Astyanax mexicanus: one gene and its partner. The protein of the gene in region 2 purifies or fractionates together with the protein of the main gene of each other region. This does not show direct contact. Links are inferred from orthologs where the notes say so. Each region holds a gene or a part of one and is shown on either strand. Other genes may lie near its edges. The genes, in order: zfyve19 and vps4a.

Evidence for each region.
Region 1: the proteins of vps4a (region 2) and zfyve19 purify together in Homo sapiens (affinity purification with mass spectrometry; 3 studies listed by BioGRID and IntAct, counting the BioPlex papers as one, with this or other methods). This does not show direct contact. The link is inferred for Astyanax mexicanus from reciprocal best matches to the Homo sapiens genes VPS4A and ZFYVE19.

What each region holds. Positions count from the first base shown.
Region 1 is NC_064421.1:47,599,845-47,603,769, forward strand, and holds the start of zfyve19 (abscission/NoCut checkpoint regulator), read right to left. Parts: upstream 2,417-3,925; 5' UTR 2,162-2,416; coding exon 2,108-2,161; intron 2,009-2,107; coding exon 1,887-2,008; intron 1,743-1,886; coding exon 1,689-1,742; intron 1,270-1,688; coding exon 1,103-1,269; intron 1,006-1,102; coding exon 863-1,005; intron 133-862; coding exon 30-132; intron 1-29. UniProt on the Homo sapiens protein: Key regulator of abscission step in cytokinesis: part of the cytokinesis checkpoint, a process required to delay abscission to prevent both premature resolution of intercellular chromosome bridges and accumulation of DNA damage.
Region 2 is NC_064417.1:11,207,037-11,210,961, reverse strand, and holds the start of vps4a (vacuolar protein sorting-associated protein 4A), read right to left. Parts: upstream 2,690-3,925; 5' UTR 2,493-2,689; coding exon 2,472-2,492; intron 2,219-2,471; exon of another isoform or gene 2,113-2,218; coding exon of another isoform or gene 2,095-2,112; intron 827-2,094; coding exon 755-826; intron 1-754. UniProt on the Homo sapiens protein: Involved in late steps of the endosomal multivesicular bodies (MVB) pathway. Recognizes membrane-associated ESCRT-III assemblies and catalyzes their disassembly, possibly in combination with membrane fission.

The DNA of each region.
Region 1 (3,925 bases), on a different chromosome or scaffold from region 2:
GGCTCTAAATAAGGCAGTGTAATAAATACCCTCTGGAGAATGCTGGTTGTCAATGGCAACTTCCTCAGTCATCTGCGTGAGTAAGTCACTGGCCTGTTCAGTCTGAGTCCTGGTATCAGGTGGCCGATGAACCTGCGCAAAGCAGAAACACCATTCTGAGTGCATACATGTCTCACATCACATGAAAAACATCCATATGAACATTAATAAATCATATATGTCTGGTTCTCTGAGCCTAAGTCATATTTTCCATAAGAGATCTGTGAATATCACCCATTCTTAGAGGGACAGTGTCATGCATTGCACGTGTCCACACATACATGCATTTCGCTAGGGATTAGTGATATAAAAAATCTGATAGATCAGAATATGTTTACCACCACATTATTACATTTTAATTAGTTAATATATATACATTTTTTGTTTTAGATACATAAATTAGAGGGTTTATGCATTACACATCCCAGCACTAGGGTCTAGGGTCAAGTCCCTATCTGCATGGTTTTCTTTCCACAATTCAAAAAACACGGAAATCAGGTAAACTAAATTCACGCAACTAAACTAAAGGCGCAGTGAAAATACTTTCATTTTTACAGAAATTATCAGTACGACTACAGTCCGATTTACTCACCTCTAAATTGCGAAAGAGCTAGCGTTGCGGTTAGCAGCTAATGCTAACACTGCTCCAGCCTTAGTGCTGGAGAAACTTTCCTGAAACTTTTTTAACGCTGTACTTCAGTGGAGTGGCTTTACTTTACATACATAAGGCGATAAAATACTGACGATTTTTTGGAAAATTAAAGGATTTTAATTTTGTGAAAAATACAGTAATATGAGCATGAACTGTAATCCTTGCACGTACTGGAGGTGGTGCTTGGGAGGGAGGGGGCTTTCCTTGTAAGGCAGCTAATCGATCTTCCATGTCCTGAGCTGAAGGCACCGGCTGGTCTGGAGCTTTTAAAGCAGCGAGGCGAGACTCAATCTCCCGCTCAGACGGTATGGACTCTGCATATGACATGCAAAACAAAATTTCCATTTTTGCTTATCTTATCTGGTGAAGAACATCTCAGTTGACTAAAACACAGTATTATCACAGTCTTACTTGGCTTTGTTTCCTCCTTCAGCTTCTGAAGTCTTTCTGCGATAACTCGGTCCTCCTTACTCAAACCTTTTGTTGAAATAGGAGCGGATATGCAGTTCTTCCCACTGTTCTGTCTTTGGGGTTGATTCGGAGGTTGACTTTGTTTGGCTTCAAGAGCAGCAACTCGTCTGTAATAATAAAAACAACATACATGTGAAGTCAGACTCCGCCCTTATTTTGAACATTACAGAGTAGCATCACAGCGCTAACGCTCGGAGGAAAGCAGCGCAGCGACTCGGTTCTGATACATCAGCTCACAGACGCAGCCTTGTGCTGATCCACATCACCCTAGGAGTGATGAGGAGAAAGAGAGAGCACCATCTACTGTACTGTACCCACCCAGAGAGAGCAAGAGCAGTTGTGCTCTCTCAGTGCTCCGGCTGCTGATGGCGGGGGGACGATAGGATTTCTGTTCTTGCTCACAATTATTCATACATATCCACATGCGCCTGTGCTATTTAAACGACACAGACAAAAGCGGCAAAAGTGGCTTTTTGTGAATTTTAGTTATACTGAACTCATTCATATTTTTTTTTCAAAATCTTACTTTTTATAGTTTTCAGGTGGAGACCATCTTGCAGCATCATTCTGTTTTCCATTACTGTAAAAAAACAAACAACAAAAGGACATTTTATTATCACGTGAGACATCATGTGTCACAGTTCCCCCCCAAGCCATAGCTAGTTATATATCAGCAAGCATACACCTAAATCAACTTAATAAACACTAAAATAAGAGTTTTTACCTGGTGAGGTTCCCGTGGCACTGCCTGCACACCTTCTGCTGAGTGTTACCGAACCGGGGCACCAGAGCACTGAACTCCAGACAGCCTGAACAGAACGAGCGGCTGCAGTTTTTACAGCCCATCTGCAACACAAGCACTATTCATTTAGATACATAAACATATATAAAACACGCCCATATATTTAATATATATTTAACCTGCGCAGATACACAAATACATACCTCTTTCTTGAAGAGAGTGAACTTTGACGCACAGCCATAACAGCGGTTATTCATAGCTGATAATTAATAAGCTACTATATCTGATTAAACGTTAAGTTACACTGAAAAGACTGTCCACATTTATAAACAAACAGTTCAGAGAACATAAGCCGTAACGAGCTACATAAATGTAACTATTATTCACTAATATTCACATTTATTTATATTAATTATCACCAAATTAACATTTAAACCACTAGCGAGGCCTGAAAATGCAGACATTTCAGCCTAGGTCCTACTGTAGCTACATGTTTAAGGAAGGAAAACACAGGAAGCGTGATGCAAAGCCTCACGGTAAATGTAGTCCACCTCAGAACAATAAAGGCTAATAAAACTTTCTAATATCGTTTTTTTTTTATTTAAACATTTGGACATAGGACATTAACGCGTGTACTGTTATTTTAGTTGCATTTGTGTTTGTCAGCAATGTATTACAGTAAAGAAAAAATGCTTTTATTCGATGTTAAACTACATTACCCAGCATGCCTGTAAAAACAACGTAAAGACACTCTGGTGTCGATTAGACGTTTTTAAATATATAAATGAATAAAAATAATTTAAAGCGATCGACCATTTGTAAAAATACACGACAATATGAAAATTATTTCATATGTACGTTAAAAATAAAACTGAAAAAAAAAACATCTATTATTTTTTTGCATTTATTTTAATCGTTTTAATTGCAATATTATTATTTTTATCTTTAAATATCCACACAGGCTGTTTTTTTTATTAATTTCCAAAAACATCCTAATGAAAACAAGGACATCCAGGATAAATACATAATAATAAAAAAATAATTTAAAAAAAACGTTTTACAAGCTAAACAAAAACAGGTCTTATACAAACAACAAATCAGTAACAGATTTTTTTTATTTAATTTAATGTGATTTAGAACACCTTTTTAATCATGTTTTTACTATTTAGGCATGGATATTGAAATAACATATCAATATAAAAATAAAATATTACAGACAGGGTTCCAATGCAATAGAAGTAATAAAATAAAAACTATTAAATATTTTAGTTAGTTCAATTTGTTTGCTATATAACGTTAGATTTTATAGTAGAATATTAAAGAATATTTCTGTGCTATACAAACAGAAAACAGCATTCTTACTATTCTTAATTCGGGTCTGAAAGGGTTAAATAAAAGTCCACCAATGAGGCGCTGGGTTTCGGTCACGTGAGCAGGATAGGCCAATGAGCGCGAGGCTAGGCTCCTCCCAGTTTTCGTTCAAATATTTTCAGCCTGAAGATAAACGGACTCTCTCTGAGAACAGCAGTGAACAAAAAAAGACTGGATTTTTAATATAATTTTTATATAACGTATTGTACCGTAAACCAGAGACGCAAGCAATATAAAGGGAGAAGCACGTAAGTATGATGATATATAATATAATGTTTCTGTCTGCGGGAAGACTGTAGTTTTCTGTAGTGACTGTTAGTTAGATGACCGTTGCAGTTGCAGGTTAGCTGGTTAATGCTAACCGGCTGTGGGTGCCTGAATGTAATTACTGTCAATATGACTTTAATAAAGCTTAGACATCACAGTTCAGTGTAATTTAGGTTAGCTTCGCGAATGCATGGTTTATTTTGAGTACTCCAACAGGTAGTTAGCTAGTAAATAATGTCTGAGAATCTGCAACTGTAGCCTGGCCATGCTAACTGTTAAAGGTAAGTTATCTCGCCACAACCCATCATGCTGCTGGTTAAAGTTAACGTTAACTAGTTAGCTAGTTAGTGTAGCAGTCAAATGATCTTGTTTTCACTTTAAAC
Region 2 (3,925 bases):
ACAAGAAGAAAAAAGCTCCATTCACTGAAGAACTGACAGTAAAGACAGAAGGTAATTGTTATTCAGAACTAGGTTAGTTGTGATGTGGAGTAGTACTTAAACAAATAACAGAGCAATATTAGAGAATTTTAGCAGCACAATCGAGTTTACTCAGATTCATTAACAGGACAAAGGAGTAGTGCAGAACTCCTGAAGTTTTTCAAACAAGCTCCATAATTTGCTGTTCAATGCTGCTTTATAATCTAGAAAAGGAACTGTGCTCTCCTGTTGGTAAAAAAAAGTAGTAATTCTAGCTACACCATAACTTTAATGAAATTCCACCACTACAAAAAAAAGCATAAACATTGCATTTTCGAAAACACAGCACATTAAGGCCACATTCACGTTGGCTATAACAATTCAGTTTGTACACTTTCATTACGGATTAAATCACAGTTCTCCTAAACTAATTTAATAACAAATTTAGGATTGCAAAACTAGTAGTTCTAAAAAGACACTGAAAGTGTCTTAAAGCTATCAAGCTAACAACTTGGATCTGAGAGCATCCACAATTAGCTGTATCGGGTAGGTGGATGGATTATTTCATTCCCTATCTTAAAATGTGTTGTTTAAACAAGTATTCAATTTCCAGATCCATTAGTTATCTAGTTAATTGAGTTATCTGTTATAGATTCTACCTAGTTAACTATGTTAGTTTGTTAGCTAACTTGAATTTATAGAATTTTCCCATTACAGTACCAGTGTGTAAACCTACCTCCACCATATGTGGATGCTGAACTGTAACCTGAGAGTTATTTATCTGCTTTACAATGATGCTCTGCTGCACCTGCAAGAGGAGATTCATCTGATCTACCCAACATCATAAATTTGGTTCTCAACAACATACAAACATCTGCAATTTTTTTTATGAAATCAAGAGCGACTTTCTAATCCACATGGGGATGACCACTTTAGTTTGAAGGGCATGGTTAAAATAAGAGCCTGGGGTCGGCTGGTCTGGAGCCAGCTCCTGATCTACCAGGATAGCTTGGAAGATGTTACTAAAAACCAAGCACTCACTGGGTTATCTGTTTCACCCTGTTTATACAGAAGCAGGAACATCTGGTAAGTGCAGCAGAGCTTGTAGGTGCTACTAGGGGAAAAAACATGGCTTCTAAATGAGCCATAGGTCATTTAATATTTTAAATGTGTTTATCTACAGGTTTGTGCAGACATTTCTGAGTTGAAGCTGAACCTGTTCTCTGCTCACAGCTTGGGCTCCAGACGGGGAAGCGATGCTTGTATGTGCTCCATCTCGGCAGTTACACAGAGTTGGTACATGAGAAGGGACAGAGTAGCCCTTTCTATGCAAGGGTTAATTAGCGTCTCGTAAAGATGGCCCAGACCCAAGGATGATGGGCAGGAGGCCAAGCATAAAAGGCAGGCCTCCATAACTGAATATCACTGTCGTGAATCTCCGGTGATCAGGCCATGAGCCCAGAGTAACAATTCACCCCAAAGAACAAACTCAGGGTTCTCTAAATTAGCAGCAGCAGCAGTGAAGTTACAGACCAAAATCCAACAAAGAATTCAGCATAGAATCCAGTGGAAAAAAAAACTAACATAGAATCAAAACATAACACTATCCAGCTCTGTGAGGGCAGCAACTTTGATGCACGTGAAGAGCTAAGTATGGTCTCTCTCTACACAAGAGGAAAAGAAGGGCAAGTGACAGTAGAGACTCAGGCTGTAGGAAGAGTGGGGCAAAACAAATTTAAAAAGGACCTAATGTGCAACATGGGGCTTCTGCCGGCATGCAAAAAGCTAAGATGGCCCATGTATAATAAAATAGTGTTCATCCTTGAATACATTTTTTTTTACCATCACTGACCATAACTTCAACAACCGTAACTATTTTTTTTTTACCATTAAACACTGTTTATTCTATTATAGGAAACCTATAGGGAACACCTGCCTGGGCACTTCACGGGAAAACCTTATACAGCACTGCATCCAATCACATTTGATTGATTGTACAATATCAAATTATTCTTGATGTAGAGGCACATCATCCTACCTAACCCCTTGAATGCGCCAGTAATTAAAATGTCTAACCAGGTGCTTCTTCATCATGGTTCAACACCCACACACCAACGCTGTAAATGACTTGGTTCCGGGCATGAAAAGTGTTTAAACCAGCATCTTCCCCCAGTCCACCTTATAAACAGCCTGGCTGCTCCGTTCAGGTGCTGTACAGTCTTTACCAGGTAACGGTTAGATTTAAGGTGGACCAGAGAGATATACATCCACCATCTCGCAGCTCAAACAGCGCTTGCTGAGCTGCTAACGTTACTGGAGCTGCAGGAGAAGCGCTGAGGTCAGGCTCGCGGTGAATCCGCGCTGACAGAACCAGAGCTGATATAAAAACTCAGTTAATTCAGTAAAAACAGAACCTGAGGAGGAAGCACTAGTATTAGCATTAGCCTGTGTACCTGCAGTGTTGACGTTGTCATTTCATCTCAGTTCGGCGCCGTTTCGCTCCAGCTTCGAGTTAGGTCAGCTATAAGGTCTGAATGTGGGTGTGATATGAAGCGCGAGCTTATATTAAACTGAGTTTTATTATAAAAATATAATTTAATAATCGGAGAACCAAACAGAACAGCCAGCAGCGCCCACCATAGAGCCCATCAACTGCGCAGAGAGCGCGGGTTACAGGAGCGGTGCTGCCGCCCTGCGGACAGGATGTGGTAGTACAGGTTAGCATATTGTTATTTAATGTTTTATTGGTTTTAAAGTAATTACAATGTACAGGAAAATAGCACATTAATCAATCTCAACAAACAACAAACAAACTAACAAACAAACAAACGAAAAGATTTGCTAATAGCACACAAAAAAAGAATAAGCACCAGTGTTATAAGCACTAAAAAGATTCTATAAAATAAAGCGATCAATACAGAAGTATAAGAAATGTTGCATAGCTATTCATAAAAACTAAAAACGCACCGCAGCACATAATACAGTATTTCAATTAAGTGTGCACCCCCTGACATTTTTGTAAATGTTTATTAAACATTTTCACTTTGATACAATGTAAAGTAGTCAGAGTGCAGCTTCTATAACAGTGTAAATTTGCTGTTCACTCAAAATAATTCGAAACAGCCATTAATGTCTAAATCACTGCAAACAAAACTAAGCACACCCAAATTAGAAACATTCCCTCCCCGGTGTCATGTAAGGTAAATTGTTACGAGGTATAAATGTGTAAATTGGGAGCAGGTGTGTTAAATTTGGTGTTATCACTCTCACACTTTTATACTTGTCACTGGAAGTTCAACATAGCACCTCATAGCAAAGAACTCTCTAAAAACGCTGAAGCTTCTTAATCTTCTTATTCGCCAATGTCTTGTTCAGATTTCCGTTCCACCTTAAATGCTGGCTGAACATACATGCGGCCGCCTGTAGATGGCGCATTTTAACAGTAAAAAACAGCATGCAAGCAAAGCGCTGTGCAATATCTCACGAGGCTGAAGTTGGTTTGATATTCGCAGCTCCAGATTCGTTTGGCTCGATATTCGCAGCCTCGTATTCCCCGGCTGAAGTTGGTTTGATATTCGCAGCTGCCGCTTCACTGAAGCACCGTGAACTAAAGGGAGCGTTCACAAACACCCGCTGTTTATATTAAACACCTCACAGATCAACACTGAAGGAGATAGAATGAAGAAAAGCAGTACAGCTGTTTATTAACAATGTAAATATACAATATATTATTAAATATAATTTTGTATATTGTAAAATATTTATTTTAATTACTGAATTTATAATTATATATTACAATAAATAATTAAATATATATTTAATAAAATTATATTTTAAAAGCCATTGCGCTCAAAAAATATGAGGCAGATGTTCAAGTGTGATTTTGAAGAACTTTTTCATGTTGGGC